Callithrix jacchus: one gene and its partner. The protein of the gene in region 2 interacts with the protein of the main gene of each other region in a pairwise test. Links are inferred from orthologs where the notes say so. Each region holds a gene or a part of one and is shown on either strand. Other genes may lie near its edges.

Region 1 (9,809 bases), on a different chromosome or scaffold from region 2:
TTTATTTTCTACATTTCCTTCAATGGATTTGACTATTTTTTTGAAAAATTTTTTAGACAATTTTGTACTTTTTTTTCTTTTTAATTTTATTTATTATACTTTCAGTTTTGGGGTAAAAGTGCAGACGTGCAGGTTTGTTACATAGATATACACATGCCATGGTGGTTTGCTGCATCCATCACCTTGTCATCTACATTAGGTATTTCTCCTAATGCTATCCCTCCCCAATCCTCCCACTCCCTGCTATCCCTCTCCTACCCCCCGACCCCCTGACAAGCCCTGGTGTGATGTTCCCCTCCCTGTGTCCATGTGTTCTCATTTTTCAACTCCCACTTATGAGTGAGAACATGCGGTGTTTGGTTTTCTGTTCTTGTCAGTTTGCTGAGAATGATGGTTTCCAGCTTCATCTATGTCCCTGCAAAGGACATGAACTTATTGTTTTTATGGCTGCATATTCCATGGTGTATATGTGCCACATTTTCCCCCCCACCCTCCCCCACCACATTTTCTTTATCGAGTCTATCATTGACGGGCATTTGGGTTGGTTCCAAGTCTTCAGTATTGTGAACAGTGCCACAATAAACATGTGTGCATGTGTCTTTATAATAGAACAATTTATAATCCTTTGGATATATACCCAGTAATGGGATTGCTGAGTCAAATGATATTTTTATTTCTAGATCCTTAAGGCATGGACTTGAATTTTTTGCTAAAAAAAAACAGTAACTGTTATATTAGAAAGTTATGAGATATTATCTACATTATCTCAATTTTGTTAGAAATACATAAGGATTCAAAACGTATTACTCATTACTATTTGTTAAATAGCACTAAATCTATCTTTCTCTTGTTCAGTTTTTCATTCATTTATTCAACGCGTATTTACTGGATGTACATGATATGCTAAACCCATATCTACATCTCAAATATCCTTTATGAACATCCTTTTTCTTTGACAACCAAGGCACAGTCTCTAATATCCCTGTCTGCTCTTTGCCAGAATTTGTAGGTTTTTATGGGAAGAATTTATGTACACATTTTGTGAAGAATGGCCACAGTAAACGAGAAAATGATGCTCACCGTATTACATATAGAAATGATATGTAGGCAAATGCATTGAGAACCTTAGATACAGCTGCTTCTCTTGAGGGAATGTTATGCTCTGCACTGCCTTTTGCTTACTTTCTGCTGGTTGCTGGTAGTTGCTTGAACGTTTTATATGGAGCATAACTACTCACATGCTACTGTCTCAGCTGCCCCTTCAGACACAAACACTCTGTTAAGAGCCAAGAGAAACTGGTTAGCAGAAGACTCTCTCCATAGAGTAGAATCTTAAAACCAACTTTCTCTGAGAAACTGACAGGGAAACTTCAATCTGCCTGGACATGGAAGAGATATGCATTTTTCTGGGCATATGTGTGCCTCACCTTCTCTCATGGATATGCCATCAGTTTACACATGAACTTAATTTTTCCTCATGAACACTTCTTTTTTTTCCACTGAAGCTGATGCTAACACTGACAACCAAAAATAAAAATCTGGTAGGACATAAGCCTCTCCATTCATCAATTTTCCTGCCCTTTCAACTCTAGGCTCTCTTTAATCTTCTGTCTTGTGTCTTAAGTGTTTGCAGGAGGAGAAAAAGCTTTGAAATTACTTAGGCATCTGATTCATGATGGGGTTTGTGATGTTATGTGACATTTTCACCTGCCTATCCACATTTCCCCTTTGGTTCCATAAGTTCTATTGCAGTGTTATATTCTAGAACAGGAGTGGCAAAGTTTTTCTGTTAGGACCATATAAAAAATATGTAGTCACTGAAAGCAAGCTGTACTATCTTTCACAACTACTCAACTCTGCCACTGTAGTACAAAAACAGCCATAGATAACATGTAAATGAATAAGCATGCCATTCATTTAAAAATTTATGGATACCAAAAGTTGAGTTTCATGGTTTTAGTGTCATATTTTCAGGTTTTTCAACCTTTAAAAAATGTAAAAATCATTCTTAGTTATAGGCCAAATAATAGGCAGTGGGCCAGATGGACCATGGGTTGTTTGCCAACCCCTGTTCTAGAATCCTAACTTTAAGTTTGTAAGACTGTCTTCATACATAAAATGTGTAGATTTCATCCGATTAGTACAAACTGCAGGGGATTTTATTTCCCTAGTTCTGCTGGGACACTTAACCCCAATTGTCTTCCCATAGACCTCTCATAAAGGTCTCATTTGTGTATACATTGATTCACTAACATGATATCCTGATGTCCAACTCCATATAGATAACAAAATTCTGTACATTTATGGATTTCAGGTGAATGTGAGCTGGTATGAGGTGGGACTGTCTCAGATTAAAAGTGGGCTGTGTTTCCTCACACATCTTACATAGTCTGCTATACTGAGGAAGAGATTGCCTAGGAGAGAACCACCTGTAAGGAAAGAGATAGACAGACAATGTTTTTCCATGAAACAGAAGAGGGAGGGGGGAATTTGTCCACACTTTTGTAAAGTAGAGCAAGGATTCAATCCACTGGAAATTCCAGATAAATCGGTGGGACTTTATCACTTTGAGGATTCCTGAACATCTGCAATGGTAGGAGCTAGTGTAAGAGCAAAACCTAGCAGACAGAATAATATCCAGGGAAGATGACAATAGAACGCAGCAGCAGAGGAATGAAAGTACCTACTCCTAAGCCTACTGGACTTGTAAGCATAGGGAAGACCTCACCTCGGAAATGTCCTCTAATAACGGAAGGAAATATCTAAAGGGTTGGGTCATGCATGTCACTAAGAGCAAGAACTTGGGAGAAAGTTCACAACCTTATTCTCTCATCTGGTCAATACAGCAACCCTGGGAGGTTGCTTGTCTTCATCTTACTGATAAATATTATGATCTTCAGAGAGATGTGTCACTTACATTTCTAAAAAGAGATCCCAGGGGTAAGCTCAAATTGAGATTCTGTCATAAATGTTTAATAAGTGTACACATTGCTTTTATAAGGTGGTCATATATAAGTAATAGAGTTCCATTTTGAAAAATAAGAAATGATGGATAAGCAAGAATAAAATTCCCTTTTAATTCTACCACAGAGATAAACATTATTTACTATATATGTGTGTGTATATATGTATATATACATGACTGTTTATGTTCATATTTAAGATTTAAAGTAAAAAAGAATGCAGAGAATGCTTTTTAAAACTGCTTTATTAACTTCACAATATATAATGAGCATCTTTCCATGCAGTAGGTAAAACTCGCCTGCTGACAGAAACTTACAAACTGGGTCAGAAACAACATTCAGTTAGAAGCTGGTATCAGGAGACCCACAAGAAATAAGTAACATCAAAAGGTTTGCAACAAAGGTACACCACAAATATGTAAGTTTAGGAAGCAGGGGTCTTCCTATAAACTTCAGGGAAATCATCAGGATTCAGGGCATAAGGCAAAACTCATCGTGATGGTCATGGTGAGGGGGGTCAGTGCTGACAGCCCGCAGACTATGACTCAACTGCTTTTCCCTCAACTTTTCCATCAGCTGTCTCACCTCCTCCCCAAGCCTTTCCATATTCTCCTCTCTCATCCTTGCCTGTGGTTCTCCAAGCCTATGCATCATGTCCCATCTATACTGCAGGATGGGCTGCCTAACGCGGAACCGCCTACGATTTCCTCTGGGCACATAGTATTCACCAGCATCCAAAGGGAGGGCCAAGGGCTCCCCTTTATTAGCAACTTGCTTCTTTTCATCTTTTTCTTCATTTTCCTCTTTGACATTTTCCACGTTGAGATTGTTTAACGCTAGTTCCTCTTTGGACTCCATTACTCCTAGGAGACAAGAGAGAAAAAAAGAGACTCAATTCTTGGTGAACCGATCAGCACCGAGGACAGAGACCCTACTATACACCTTTCAAAATTCAGAGCCCTGGACTTCAAAGGCCATTTTAAAATTTCATTTTTTTTTCCACCAGAGAGACCCAGTGTGCCCTCGCGGGGAGACAATCCTAGCCCCTCTCTCTTGCAAAGCCCACCATCTTCCCTGCAGATCCATCTCCAGGCCTCTGCAGGCACCAAAATGGAGGACGAGGATGGGGTGGGGGAGGGGAAGGATTGCGAAGTGTTGAGTGAAGGCATGGATTGGGGTCTCAGACTGGGCTTTCCTCACGTTCCGACCCCCGCCCCACCACCGTACCTCGCACCGACCTGGGCCTATCCTTGCGATCTCCTCCTCCCGATTCTCGACTCGAGGCGCGCCGCCGGACACTTAGTCCCTCAGACCTGCAGAAGAGCAGGGGGCAGGGAGTGGGGGCTGCTGGAGCGGAACGCTAGCGATGACAAGCTGTCACCCAGCCCCTTCCCCGTCCCGAGCCCGGGCCCTCCTCGCCGCCCTCGCCCCCCGCCTCAGCAGCCCCTCCCCCCAAGATGACCACCATTTTCTGCACCAAGAAGGGCGGGGCAGGGGTGTCGGAAAAGCTTGCGCAGGTGGCGGAGGCAGGTGTTTCCGAAGGGTCGTAGCCTCAGGACCGCCGGCTCTCGCGAGGCCGGGCACCTCTCGGCTCAAGGAAGGCGGTGGGGCCCGGGGTCTGCTTCATGGTGGACCGCCTGCGTCACCGCGCGGCTACCCGGGGGTGGGTCATCCTCAGGCCGGGGCCGCTCCCCAACACCAACCCCAGGGATCTCCTCCAGGTCCCTTACCTGCTTCCCCTCCGCTTCCTACTTTCGGGGTCGCCCCCGGCCCGCACGTTCTCAGGGCCACCTGGAGCAGGTACCGCTGCCGAGAAGGGAGCGAGCGACGGCGGCTCTGACACCAGAGCGAGACAGACTCACTTGGCAGGTCACGTGGGGCGGTTGTCATCGCCAGCGGCTCCGCCCCCGTCCCACGCCCCCTCCTGCAGCCCCGAGTCAGGCGGGGCTTTCGGGCCAGCCCCCATTCACACCGGGAGTCCCTTTGAACATCCCCGGCCTGAGCTTTGCCACTCTCCTTTCTTTGTGTGTTCTTCGGACTTCCTCTGCCTGCCCAGGGAGGAACATATCATCTCAGGGAGATGTTAGCCGTTCCCACTCTGGGGACTTGCCTCTCTCTGTCCTTGGCTCCCAGGATTCACCTCCTTCTGTCCTCTCTCCTACCAATACTCTGATTTCCCTCCACTAAAACTAGTGGAAGAGGTATATCAGAAAAGGAGCCCAAAAGAGTAGACTTTTCTCATTCTTAATACCTTTCTGTGTTCTTTCATATGAAACAAAAAATATATACGTCTTAAAAGAGGAAAAAATGTTATTTTTAATTGAAAAACGGGATTAAAGTTGGGGAAAACATCCTAACCACCTGTCCTGTTAAATCATTATACAAATATAGACACTACCGACAGCTGCTTTTTTAGAACTTGGAAAAGGACAGGGCAGCTGATGACTCCCCTTTTGAGGGGCCCCTGGACATATGAGGCCCTTCTATGAGATGAACTAGTGAGTTGTAGTGCTACAGAGCTTTGTTGGGTTTTCAGAACTAAAAGAAAAAAAAAGACCTTTTTCACAAATTTCTGGTTCAAATGATAATAAGTATGTCTTTATTTGCATGTCAATAATCATGAATTCAGGAAATCCGAAGAGATCTACAGTTAATCTACTATAGGAGTAAGAATTGATTTTAAGAAGGTTGCAGATACAAGATAAGTATTACAAACTTACTCATAAATTCATTTGGAAATGCAAAGGACCTAAAACAGACAAATACTTTTTAAAAAATATCCTAGGCCAGGCGTGGTGGCCCATGCCTGTAATCACAGCATTTTGGGAGGCCAAGACGGGTGGATCACGAGGTCAAGAGATAGAGACCATCCTGGCCAACATGGTGAAACCCCGTCTATATTAAAAATACAAAAATTAGCTGGGCCTGGTGGCCCGCACCTACTCGGGAGGCTGAGGCAGGAGAATCGCTTGAACCCCAGAGGCAGAGATTGTAGTGAGCCAAGACCACGCTGCCGCACCCCAGCATGATGACAGAGCGAGACTCAGACTCAAAAAAAAAAAAAAGGAAAAGAAAAACAAAAATCCTGCAAATCTTGAGAGTTACATTATATTATTTCAAGACTTAAATTATAATGATACAGTAGTTAATGTAGTAGTAAACACAGACCTGTGGATTAATAGAACCCGAATAGGGAGTCCAGAAATAGACTGATACCTACGTTGTTAATTAACTTTTGACAAAGATGTCGGGATAACTCAATATGGAAAGTATAGTGTTTTAACAAATGGTGCTGAAATAACAGAATTCTTTTTTTTTAAATTTATTATACTTTAAGTTTTGGGATACATGTGCAGTTCGTGCAGGTTTACTACATAGGTTTATGCGTGCCATGGTAGTGGTTTGCTCCATCCATCTCCCCATCATCTACATTAGGTGTTTCTCCTAATGCTATCCCTCCCTAATCCCCTCACCCCCTGCTATTCCTCCCCTAGCCCCCCACCCCCCAGGCCCCAGTGTGTGATGTTCCCCTTCCTATGTCCGTGTGTTCTCATTGTTCAACTTCCACTTATGAGTGAGAACACGTGGTGTTTCATTTTCTGTTCTTGTGTCAGTTTGCTAAAAATGGTTTCCAGTTTCATCCATGTCCCTGCAAAGGACATGAACTCATCCTTTTTTATGGATGCATAGTATTCCATGGTGTATATGTGCCACATTTGCTTTATACAGTCTATCATTGATGGGCATTTGGATTGGTTCCAAGTTTTTGCTGTCGTGAACAGTGCCGCAATAAAATACGTATGCTTGTATCTTTATAACAGAATGATTTATAATCCTTTGGGTATATACCCAGTAATGGGATTGCTGGGTCAAATAGTATTTCTATTTCTAGATCTTTGAGGAATCACCACAGTCTTCCACAAAGGTTGAATTAATTTACACTTCCATCAACAGTGTAAAAACGTTCCTATTTCTCCACATCTTCTCCAGCATCTGTTGTCTCCTGATTTTTAAATGATCACCATTCTAACTGGCATAAGGTGGTATCTCAATGTGATTTTGATTTGCATTTCTCTAATGACCAGTGATGAGCTTTTTTTCATATGTTTGTTGGCTGCATACATGTCTTCTTTTGAAAAGTGTCTGTTCATATCCTTTGTCCACTTTTTGATGGTGTTGTTTTTTCTTGTATATTTAAGTTCTCTATAGATTTTGAATATAGCCCTTTGTCAGATGGGTAGGTTGAAAAAAAAATTTTTATTGTACTTTAAGTTTTGGGTTACATGTGCAGATCTTGCAGGATTGTTGCATAGGTGCACACATGCCATAGTGATTTGCTGTCTCCACCCCCACCTCCGTCACCTACATCAGGAATTTCTCCCACTGTTATCCCTCCCCAATCTCCCCGCTCCCTGCTGTCCCTCCCCTTGACCCCTACCCCCAACATACCCCAGTGTGTGATGTTCTCCTCCCTGTGCCCATGTGTTGTCATTGTTCAACACCCACCTATGAGTGAGAACATGCAGTGTTTGGTTTTCTGTTCTTGTGTCAGTTTGAATTGCAAAAAATTTTTTCCCATTCTGTTGGTTGCTGGTTCACTCTATTGATAGTTTCTTTTGCTGTACAGAGCTCTTAAGTTTAATAGATCCCATTTGTCTATTTTGGCTTCTGTTGCCATTGCTTTTGGTGTTTTAGTCATAAAGTCCTTGCCTGTGCCTATGTCCTGAATGTTATTGCCTAAGTTTTCTTCTAGAGCTTTAATGGCGTTAGGCCTCATGTTTAAATCTGTAATCCATCCAGAGTTAATTTTTGTATAAGGTGTAAGGAATGGATCCAGTTTCAGCTTTCTGCATATGGCTAGCTAGTTTTCCTAATACCATTTATTAAATAGGGAATCCTTTCCCTATTGCTTGTTTTTGTCAGGTTTGTCAAAGATAAGATGGTCGTCATTGTGTGGCATTCTTTCTGAGGCCTCTCTTCTGTTCCATTGGTCTATATCTCTGTTTTGGTACCAGTACCATGCTATTTTGATTACTGTAGCCTTGTAATATAGTTTGAAGTCAGGTAGTGTGGTGCTTCCAGCTTTTTTTTTTTTTTCCTTAGGATTGTCTTGGCTATGCAAGCTCTTTTTTGGTTTCATATGAAGTTTAAGGTGGTGCTTTTTCCAATTCTGTGAAGAAAGTCATTAGTAGCTTGATGGGGATAACATTGACTCTACAAATTACTTTTGGCAGTATGGCCATTTTCACAATATTGATTCTTCCTAACCATGAGCATGGAATGTTTTTTTATCTGTTTGTGTCCTCTCCTATTTCCTTGAGCAGTGGTTTGTAGTTCTCCTTGAAGAGGTCCTTCACATCCCTTGTTAGTTTTATTTCTAGATATTTTATTCTCTTTGCAGCAATTGTGAATGGGAGTTCACTCATGATTTGGCTCTTTTTGTCTATCATTGGTGTATAGGAATTCTTGTGATTTTTGCACATTGATTTTGTATCCTGGGACATTGCTAAAGTTGTTTATCAACTTAAGGGGTTGAGACGATGGGGTTTTCTAAATATACAATCATTTCATCCACAAAAAGAGACAATTTGACATCCTCTCTTCCTATTGGAGTACACTTTATTTCTTTCTCTTGCCTAATGGCCCTAGCCAGAACTTCCAATACTATGTTGAATAGGAGTGGTGAGAGAGGGCATCCTTGTCTTATGCCAGTTTTCAAAGGGAATGCTTCCAGTTTTTGCCCATTCAGTATGACATTGGCTGTGGGTTTGTCATAAATAGCTCTTATTATTTTGAGGTATGATCCATCAATACCTAGTTTATTGAGAGTTTTAGCATAAAGGGCTGTTGAATTTTGTCTAAGGACTTCACTGCATCTATTGAGATAATCATGTTGTTTTTGTCTTTGGTTCTGATTAGGTGATGGATTACGTTTATAGATTTGAGGATGTTGAACCAGCCTTGCATCCCTGGGATGAAGCTGACTTAATCGTGGTGGATAAGCTTTTTGATGTGCTGTTGGATTTGGTTTGCCACTATTTTATTGAAGAATTTTGCATCAATGTTCATCATGGATATTAGCCTGAAATTTTCTTTTTTTGGTTGCGTGTCTGCCAGGTTTTGGTACGGGGATGATGTTGGTCTCATTAAATGAGTTAGGGAGGATTCCCTCTTTTTGTATTGTTTGGAATAGTTTCAGAAGGAATGTACCAGCTCCTCTTTGTATCTCTGGTAGAATTCAGCTCTGAACCATCTGGTCCTGGACTTTTTTTTTGGTTGATAGGCTATTAATTGCTGCCTCATCTTCAGAACTTGTTAGTGGTCTATTCAGGAATTCAACTTCCTCCTGGTTTAGTCTTGGGAGGGTGAAAGTGTCCATGAGTTTGTCCATTTCTTCTAGATTTACAGGTTTATTTGCATAGAGGTGTTTGTAGTAATGTCTGATGGTAGTTTGTATTTCTGTGGGATTGATGGTGATATCCCCTTTATCATTTTTTATTGCGTCTATTTGAATCTTCTCTTTTCTTTTTTATTAGTCTGACTAGCAGTCTATCTATTTTGTTGATCTTTTCAAAAAACCAGCTCCTGGATTTATTGATTTTTTGAAGAGTTTTTTTGTGTCTCTATCTTCTTCAGTTCTGCTTTGATCTTAGTTATTTCTTGCCTTCTGCTAGCTTTTGAATTTGTTTGATACTGCTCCTCTAGTTCTTTTAATCATGACGTTAGGGTGCTGATTTTATATCTTTCCTTGCTTCTGTAGTGCGCATTTAGTGCTATAAATTTCCCTCTGGACACTGCTTTAAATGTGTCCCAGAGATTTTGGTACATTGTGTCTTCATTCTCATT
Region 2 (9,803 bases):
CACTGAGATGGCTCGGCCCTCATGGAAGAGCAGCTGATGAAGCCAAACCCTGCTCTATCCCCCAAAACCCTGCTGTATCCCCACACTGCGCTGTGGGAGGAAGGAGCCTGAACACGCTTCCTTGGAAGCTGGGGCACCTCAGAGCAGGGCCCCACAGAGACAGGCAAGACCTGGAAGGAAGTGGTGAATTTTTGGAAGCCGGGGTGTCAGCCAGTGGTGGCTCTCTTTTTAGCCTGGGAACACCCAGCTGGCCCCCCTCTCCCAATCTCTTCCAAAAACCAGCCCCTTCCCCTCCCAGTGCTACAGGAGGACCCTGCTGCACACATCTGCTGATTTCACTCTTTTCTCCCCAAGGTGGGGGCCACTGATATGTGGCCAGGTGTAGGCAAGGTGGCCACAGGGGTCTGTTCTTGTTCTTCAGGTCATGGGGGAAACAGCAAGAGACTGTGGGGAAAGACTCGCAGCCCAGAGTGAGGGAAACTGGATATTGTGACAAAAAGAAGCTCAAGAGGAAGCCACTTCGTAGGTGACACCCCGCCCACCTACCTGGTGACAACTGTGTTTTGGTCGATCCTTGCTTTAAGGTCTTCATTCTGCTGTTGGAGAATCTGGATCTTTTCTTCTAGGATGATGTTCTTTTCTGCCTATAAAGGATACAGTATTTAAGAGGTTCTACCAAGGCCATAAAATAGGGAGTAAACCGGTGCCCTCAGCTCTGGGCATTGGAGGATTATCAAGAACAGCATTTTGCACATATCAGTTTGCAATGCACTAGTGGGTTGTAAAATCAGGTTACAGGAATGTGACCAGCATTTCTTCTTTAAATGAAACAGAACAGAAAATGCCCATGTGTACTGTATGTAGCAAATTTCAGATATTTTTTATTTCATATATATAGAGTGTGTGAGTGAGTGAGAGAAAGAAAGAGAGAGAGTGTGTGTGTGTGTGTGGAAGGGGGTTGTGATATAAAATGTATTTCTTACAGTGACCGTCCCCAGGCCCTTGCCATTGTCAGAGATAAACCATGAATCCCATCAGGACCTCATCTGACTAATGGTCCCATGGTTCTTCCCAAAGGGTCAACCACACTGCAGCAGTATTCCTGGCCAGCGTGCGCGTGTGACATGACATTCTGAATCCATGAAGGGATGGAAATCTACATACTGTAAGCATGCTTTTTCCTGTTGAGGCTGTGGGCAGCCAGGAATGCAAAGCCCAAGCCCAGCTTGGTACATTACCCCAAATCCCGTCATCCATGGCTGCTACCCCCCGCAATTGATGCCGTTTCCTCTGTTAGCATGTCCTCGAGGGCCTGAGACCTAGCTGAGTACAGTTCCAGTCTAAGACAAATTTAGAAATATCTTTTGAAAAGAATGTGACAAGTTCACTGTTAATCTAGTTAATCTTTTTATGTTTTTGAGACAGAGTCTTGCTCTTTCTTCAGGCTGGAGTGCAGTGGCACAATCTCAGCTCACTGCAACCTCTGCCTCCTGGGTTCAAGCGATTCCCCTGGTTGAACTCCTCAGACTCCTGAGTAGTTGGGACTACAGGCACGCGCCACCACAACCGGCTAATTTTTTGTATTTTAGTAGATACAGGGTTTCACCATATTGACCAGGCTGGTCTCGAACTTCTGACATCATGATCCACCCACCTTGGCCTCCCAAAGTGCTGGGATTACAGGTGTGAGCCACCACACCTGGCACTGTAGTTAATCTTTAAAGAATGTAGTTGATTTTTAAAGTTCCCTATTTGCAAAATGTTCCTTGTATCTGGTATAACCAAACGAGGGGCTCGTCTAGGATCACACATTGCATTTGGTGGCCGTGTCACCTCTTTCTCTGGAAGCATCCCTTTTTGCAGACATCACTTGCAGTATGGGTGCTTCTCAGTGAATGGGGCAGACCAGGTGATGCTGGATTGTCAAGATTCTGGGCAATGCTGACAAAGAACAGGGCCAGGGGCCAGTCCTGTGGCTAGGATTCCTAAGCCCTGTTCACGGATGGTTCCTTGTCCATGAACAGGGCTTAGGAATCCTAGCCACAGGACTGGCCTCTGGCCCTGCTCTTTAGCAAGGCACCTCACCCAGCCCTCATTTTTGCTCTCAGGAGTTGAAGTGATCAAATGGGTTCGTTTTTGCCTGGAAAGATTTCTGGGATGAGAAGTCATATGGGCAGGCAGAAAGCCTGGAGCATAGCTAAAATCAGCCAAGTAAACCCAGAGGTTTGCTGGTGACCCAATGCAAAGGGCCCAGCCAGGAGCGGGAGGATAGGTGACTGCTCTCAGAGTGGCTGATCCAGCACTGGCCAGGTTGCAAGGCAGGGTTCGGTTGGGGCAGGCATGGTCCTGTAGCTCCCCACCAGCCCTAGGCCTGGCCTGAGCTAGGAAGTCCTGGGCTGCTAGAGGGTAGAGAGTGGCCAGCATTGCTCACTTGACAATCCAGAATCTTGACAATCCAGCATCACCTGGTCTGCCCCATTCACTGAGAAGCACCCATACTGCAAGTGATGTGCAAAAGGGATGCTTCCAGAGAAAGAGGTGACACGGCCACCAAATGCAATGTGTGGTCCTAGACGAGCCCCTGGTTTGGTTATACCAGATGCAAGGAACATTTCACAAATAGGGAACTTTAAAAATTGGATGAGATGATCAGTTCCTGCCTGAGATGGCACATTAAAGACATAAAACGCTTAGATGATATAATACCTGGGCTGTGTGTGTGTGTGCATACAGACACTGCCTTACAGAGAAAAAGTTCTGGAAAGTATAAGCACTGGTAGGAATATGATGTTATAATCTGCTTTTCTTCGGTTTATCTTATTTCATAGTTTCCCAAAGTACATATATTATTTTTGGTAGTATCAAAAGTGTATTTTTAAAGTAATAATAATAAAGGGAAAAAATAAGAATCTGAGATCCTGGGGCCAACTTCCAGATCAAGATGGGCTGCCCTTGGAAGGAGGCTTCCCTGCCACTCCCTTTGCACACCTTTCTGGGACTCTAGCCCTGGCCAGGGAGGGTGGGGGTGATGGGGGGGTGGGGTGGATGCTTGTGCCCCAGCGTAGGGGGTGAAATCCTGCGTGTTCTGTGTCCCCTAGGGGGTGACTTTTGCCAGCTCTGCAGGAGCCAGGCTGGTGGGCTGAGCTGGGTGAGTGTCAGTGAGAGCAGGGACGCTGTTCTGGGCTGAATGTTTGTGTCCCCCAAAATTCCTGTGCTGAAACCTAACCCCCAAGGAGGCGGAGCTTTGGGGAGGGGATCAGATCCAGAAGGTGAGCCCCTGTGAATGGGATTAATACCCTTATAAAAAGGGCCCCAGGAAGATCCCTGGCCCCTTCTGCCTTGTGGGGACTCGAAGCACTGGGCAGGGGCTCCTTAGCACCATCTCCGGCATCTGTAAAGCGGCTCATGGCAGCAGCTGCTCCACAGGCAGCTGTCGGAGTTAGGAGCAGGCTCACTCAGGGAAAGTGCTCTGTGCAGTGCCTGGGCACTGGAGATGCTGTATCCTGCTGGGTCACCACATGTCCCCAAGACAGGGTGTAGAGACAGTGCAATTGCCAGAAAACCAGGGTGAAGCAGAAAGAGGCCGCCTGTCAGGAAGGTTTCAGAGTTGGACAAGGTGAGGCCACCTCTAAGATTTCTTATCAGAGCTCCTGGCTTCCCAGGAAAGGCCAGCCATGGGATTTTCTGCTTAGGTATAAGCAATGGGCAGGTAAGGGACACACCTGGCCGAACACCATCAGCAATGACATCAGGAACGACAGGAGGAGCGTCATGGAGGTTAGTCACTCCCATGCAAACAGACCAACTCACCAGCTTTTCCAGCTCAAGAATCTTCTTTTCCTGCTCGTGTATTTGCTGATTCTTCATCTCTAATACCTGCTTCAGACTCTTCATGTCTTCTTCCAAGTGCTGATAAGGAGCCAGTGCAATCTACAGGGGCAGAGAGCCATAAAATGTTGACCGGGGCTCCCGGCAAAACCCAGTATTAACCAATATCACTAATCCAGCTAAATCCAGCCTCTGGACCAACGCCCCAATAGCAATTGCACAGCAAAGACAGAGGATGCTCGCAGTCTTCCCTGATGAAGGGGTCCTGCTGCTTCCCCCTGGGAACCCATTCTGTGCGGGAGCAGGTGACACACAGCCATCGTCCACTGGGAAGTTTGATTCCGGAAATGCTGGATGCTGCCAGCCCATGCCCAGCAGGGAACTCATGGGTCGAAAGAGTAAACCCAACACTAGCCTTTAACATTCACCTGGATGACTGGTAGCTGGGGCTCTTCTGGGTCCCACCTATACCCATAAAGAGCCCATGCACAGGAAATGAGCAGAGTGGCTTAAGAAGCAGAAAAGCCATTTTGGAAAAAGACACATTACAGTAGTGCTGCTGGATATAGCAAATTAAAACATGGTATGTCCTGTTAAATTCAAATTTCAGATAAAGCACGTTTTAAAAAAGTGAGCACAAGTATTGCTTGGGACATACTTAGACTCAAAAATTTATTTACCTGTAATTCAAATTTAACTGCGTGTCTTGTATCTTATTTGGCAACCCTACGTTAGAGAGAAGGAGTTTTGCCAGATTTCCTGAAAAAAATTCCCCTCAACCTATTAACTCCTGCTGTAGCCAAGGCTGCCCGTGTCAGCCTAAAAAGCTGGGGGAGAATGAGATGGAAGGGGTGGTCGGGCAAGGGTCGGGGGTTGCCGGACCATGCTGATCACAGGGGCCCCGGAACCTCGGCTGGGCAATGCTGTGGAATTTGGCAAAAATAACACGTAGCTGGAGAAATCCACAGCTGCTGTCTGACTCTGGGGAGATGTGCTGACAGAAATTGTTTACAAATCCAGGGGAGGTCGTGACCAGCTGTCACTTCAGCAAGGGATTCACAGAGAGGCCTTGTCTTGGGACAAGACTGCTGAGGGAGTCCCGTGGCCTGGGGCTGGAAGCCTGGAATCCCGAAACTACCTCCAGCTGCTCCTCCGTGCTCTTCCTCAAGGCCTCTTCGAAGCGGCGTGCTCTGTCCCGCAGAGACTGGCTCTGGAAGGTCAGCGTGTCCACCTGGTCCTGGAGTAATGACATGAGGAGTCCAGCTGGGGGCGCTACAGCCTGCCGCTGCCACAGCTGGGGCAGCTTCAATCAGCAGGCCACCACTTTCTTCAGCATCCTTAGAGTGTCTCCCTTGGGACTGAAGAAAGAGGTGCCCAAGGGGACCCCCAAAATCACATGATGGGCATGGTTTCCCCCAACGCCTACCCGTGGCTTGCCCTTCTTGGCTCTTTGTCAGGAAGAAACCACAAAAACACTGTGAACCGGGGGGCATCTCACAACATCTGATCCTATAGAAGCAGACAATCCTCAGGGAGAGGCGTCTGGGCCAGGAGGCACCCAGCCCTGGCTTTGGGAAGGACCACAGTGAAGGTACTTCAAAGAATCATTCTCATTTATGAAGCTCAATCCAGAACCCTTCCAACCCTCCTTCACTTCTTTCTCTGCCTTGGGATCCCTCTCACATCACCAAACCTTCTGGCCACCGAGCCCTGCTATCCTGCCTCCTGAATGTCCCTAGAAGCCACAGACTCCCCTGAGCTCAGCCACTCGGCTGGCTCCATCCTGACACGATTCTTCTTTCTCCTGAAGTATCACTCCTTTACCCTCACGCTGCAGTCAAGCCCTCTTTCTAATGTGCAAAGCGGAACCTGTCCTTCCCCGACCTCCTACCCCACTGCCCTCAAGGTGCCGTGTACACTCCCTAACGCAGCACCCTCCCGCCTCGCTGCCTCCCTCTCCTCTCACGCCAGCTCTCCTGCTGGCAGTGCCCTCCTCCAGCCAGCTGCCTCTCACTCCTGCTTCATTCTGGCTCCCACGCAGCCTTCCTGGCCTGACAGCTGGGTTTCATGTCCCTGATAGGAGCTCACATGGAAGCTGAGTCCACACAGTCTCCTCCTCCCTGCTGAGACCCGCTCCCTGGCCAGACTGGCACTCCCAGCCCTCTGCCTTCCCATGCCCGTCAGCTAGGGGGGCAGCTGGCGGCTCTCCACCTGCAGGTTGAAGGAAAGCAGGAGTGTCTATGGGGACACCATGCCCCTTCCCCAGCTCCCAGGGCAGATGCACCTGCGCTGACTCTGTCCCACTCAGCCTGCCCATGACTCCCCACACCACAGGCTGGCAAAGGACCACTGATGCCCAAGAAGCGCTTCACCCTTCGTGTCTCACTCATGCAGACCAGTCCAAAGCTCTGTTACAGCACCATTTCTGTAACATCAAAACACGGAAACTAGGGTGTCCCGTGAATTCTTCCAAAGAAAAATATACATATATATAATACACACACACACACACACACACACACACACACACACACACACACACACATACATATATGAGAGACAGAGACAGGGTCTCACTCTGTCGTCCAGGCTGGAGTGCAGTGGGTACAATCTTGGCTCACTGCAACCTCCACCTCTCAGGCTCAAGTGATCCTCCCATCTCAGCCTCCTGAGTAGCTGGGACTACAGGCATACACCACCACACCCAGCGAATTTTTGTATTTTTAGTAGAGATGGGGTTTCACCATGTTGGCCAGGCTGGTCTTGAACTCCTGACCTCAGGTGATCTGCCCCCCTCAGCCTCCCAAAGTGCTGGGATTATAAGCGTGAGCCACTGCACCCAGCCTACTCCCATTTTATTTTTAAGAAACGAAAGTTCCCACAGTGCCATTAAATGCAAGTGCCGCTGCATGAGGGCAGTGCGCTGCAGGCGGGAGCTTGCGTGCCTGAGCTGAAATGCCCCTCCGGGCCCCAGCACACGCCACCTGCTACACTGACTATAAAAATGCCTTTTGCTCCTTGGCTCCTACACCAAACCTTGGTGTTGCCAGAGAAAGGATTTCTTTTAAGCCTCTTTCCCTCCATTAAAAAAGAGAACAACAGAAAACTCGTCAGGCAATTATAACATAGGATGGATCTAAAATACCAAATTGTGATTTTTCTGCCTCAGTCACCATCACTCAAAACATCTGCAGGGAGAGAATGTGCTGTTGCAATCAACTTGGGCTGACTTCTTTGTGTCAAGCTAAGAGGCACAAAGACACAGCTGGTAGCCTGACCCAGCATGGGTCACTGGGGAATCAAGCGATAAATAGCATGGCAACAATCATAATAAAGGTAACAGTGCTTGTGGTTATTATAACAGTTACAATAGCTGACACTTATTAGCGCTGACCTCAGCCACCCCAGGGCTATCCACTTTTCACACGTTATTTCCCTTCATCTGTTCACACCTTGAGAAAGGTATTACCATCCTTAAAGAGTAAACTAAGGTTTATAGAGGATATGTAACTCTCCAAGATGTGAAAGCTAGTAAGAGCTAGCACAGGGGGGATTTAAATGAAAACTCGTCTCCAACTACCAAATCTGTTTCTCCAGGTGCCGGCAGCCCAAGGAGGCTGGCTTGAGCAATTCCACCCTCCTTGCACCAAATTACCTCCAGTCCAAATACATTCTGCTGCACAGAGAGCCACAATGAAAACTGCCCAGTTCAGGACCATTTGGTCAGTGGCAGGGCACAGACTCCCAGATGAGACAAAACTCTCATTCCTTTGGGTTTGGGATTGGATGGGATTTTCATGTTCCTTTAAGGAATTGCCGGTGTGTATACGAGGAAGGCAGTCTGGGGTTAACCGGCCAAGGGCAAACCACACAAGCACTGTGCAGGCATCGCACATTTCAGTCTTTGAAGAGTATCCTGGAGAATGTGACCTGGGGTCTCTTCACAATCCTGGACTCTTTTCTTGGTGGGGCAGGCTCAGTGCCATGTATGTTGCCAGAGGAAAGTGAGTCATCAAAGAAGCAGAATTCCTGCCTACATATCACAACTATGGGATTCACTTCCACCATTTCCAGGTGGAAGTGAGCCTAATATTTAAAAAATAATTTTGTTGTGATTGGAATTGCTACACCTGGAAAGGGAAGCAGGGCCCCCAGTGTCCCCCTGGCTTCTCAGACAGCTCCTCTCTAGGGCTGGGGGATGTCAATGTCTTTTCACAGAAGCAGCTGCCTGAGTCTCTGTAAGGTGGGAAGGAGACCCTGCATTCTCCCTTGGGGGCCTGCAGGACATCAGGAAGCCCCTCTGACATCTGAGACCAGCATATCCTAAGGGCGGAAGTGAGAAGCAGAGACGGTGTTTTCATATCAGCCACCTCCAGGTAACTGCAGCCCGTTTTATGATGCTCAGAGCATGTTCTGTGAATTCTGACCTGCACAGCCCTCCTTGCACCATTCCCCCTGCCTGAAACACTCACTTCCCCAAGTCCGCCTCTTGCTTTGAACCTAGCTCAGTTACTGCTCGGATACTCCAGACCACAGCAAGTGCAGAGTACTCTTTCTGAATGTCTGTAGTGCTCACTAACTGCATTATTCATTCGGTGATGGTATGTGTTACCTATGGTTGTCTGTTACTATTTGCATCACAGCTCTCTGAGCAGACAGCACATGTCTTAAGGGTAGGGAGTATGACTTATTTACCTCTATTCCAGTGTCTAGTACAGGATTTAGTACACAGTAGGTGCTGAATGAATGTTTGTGGGTGGGAATGATGATCTCGATATCAGGTAAGAAAATTAAAGAAATACTAACCTGTAATGACAGTCGCAGTTTTTCAAAATTTTCTTCTAATTCTTTCTTTTCAAGCTCATGAGTGGACATCAATTCTGGAAAGAAGACATTAAATTGTTAAGTTGGTCTTTCTTTTGAAAAGGATGAAACAAGGCTCTCTGGCAGACTACGACCAGAGGCTTCAGGTAAATAAATCACTCCTGTGCAGCAGATTCAAGCCTAAGGGGCTCCTCCACTGGTGTGAAATTGTGTGTGATGACTGGGATTGTATTCAGGAGAGAGAAAGAAAGAAGGGACTGGGGGAAAGGGGCGGGAAAGAGAAGATGGACAGACAGAGCACACACAGAGTGCGCACACTACACACACACACACACACACATCACATACACACACCACACGCACACATCACATACACACACCACACACAAACATCGCATAAATGCATACCACACACCACACACACACATCACATACACACACACCACACACACATCATATACATGCACACCACACATCCATCATATACACACACATGCCTACCACACACATCAATACACATACCACATACAATACACACCACACACATTTATCACACACACCCACACACCACACACACACCTACCACACACATTACATACATTCACACCACACACCATACACACATATATACCTACCATACAGACATCACATATACACACACCACATACCCTCCACACACACCTCCCACACACATCACATACACACACCACATACAACACATACACCATACACATCACACACACACTACATGCACACATATGCATTACCACACATACCACACATGCCACATACACATACCTACCACACACATACACATCACACAATCACATACACACATTACATGCCACACACTCATACACACCTGACACACAATCACACACAGCTAACATACACACAACCATGCACACACTCCCCCACATACATATACATACACACGTCCCCCACATCCCTACATACATACACACCACACCCATCCCACATACACATACATACCATATACAAACCTACACTGCACATCCATTACACACACACACACACCACACATATTCCCACACACCCCCACATACATATACTACACATACCACACACATATATACACCATACACATGCATAACACACCCACACACACCACACACACATCACACTCTCAT

What was found.
Region 1: the proteins of MTUS2 (region 2) and BEX2 interact in binary tests that used the Homo sapiens proteins (3 or more experiments, as listed by UniProt). The link is inferred for Callithrix jacchus from reciprocal best matches to the Homo sapiens genes MTUS2 and BEX2.

Annotation. Positions count from the first base shown.
Region 1 is NC_133524.1:99,379,958-99,389,766, forward strand, and holds BEX2 (protein BEX2), read right to left. Parts: upstream 4,824-9,809; 5' UTR 4,694-4,823; intron 4,277-4,693; 5' UTR 4,191-4,276; intron 3,827-4,190; 5' UTR 3,822-3,826; coding exon 3,435-3,821; 3' UTR 3,191-3,434; downstream 1-3,190. UniProt on the Homo sapiens protein: Regulator of mitochondrial apoptosis and G1 cell cycle in breast cancer.
Region 2 is NC_133506.1:148,700,038-148,709,840, reverse strand, and holds part of MTUS2 (microtubule-associated tumor suppressor candidate 2), read right to left. Parts: intron 8,709-9,803; coding exon 8,635-8,708; intron 5,066-8,634; coding exon 4,967-5,065; intron 3,931-4,966; coding exon 3,811-3,930; intron 645-3,810; coding exon 547-644; intron 1-546. UniProt on the Homo sapiens protein: Binds microtubules. Together with MAPRE1 may target the microtubule depolymerase KIF2C to the plus-end of microtubules. May regulate the dynamics of microtubules at their growing distal tip.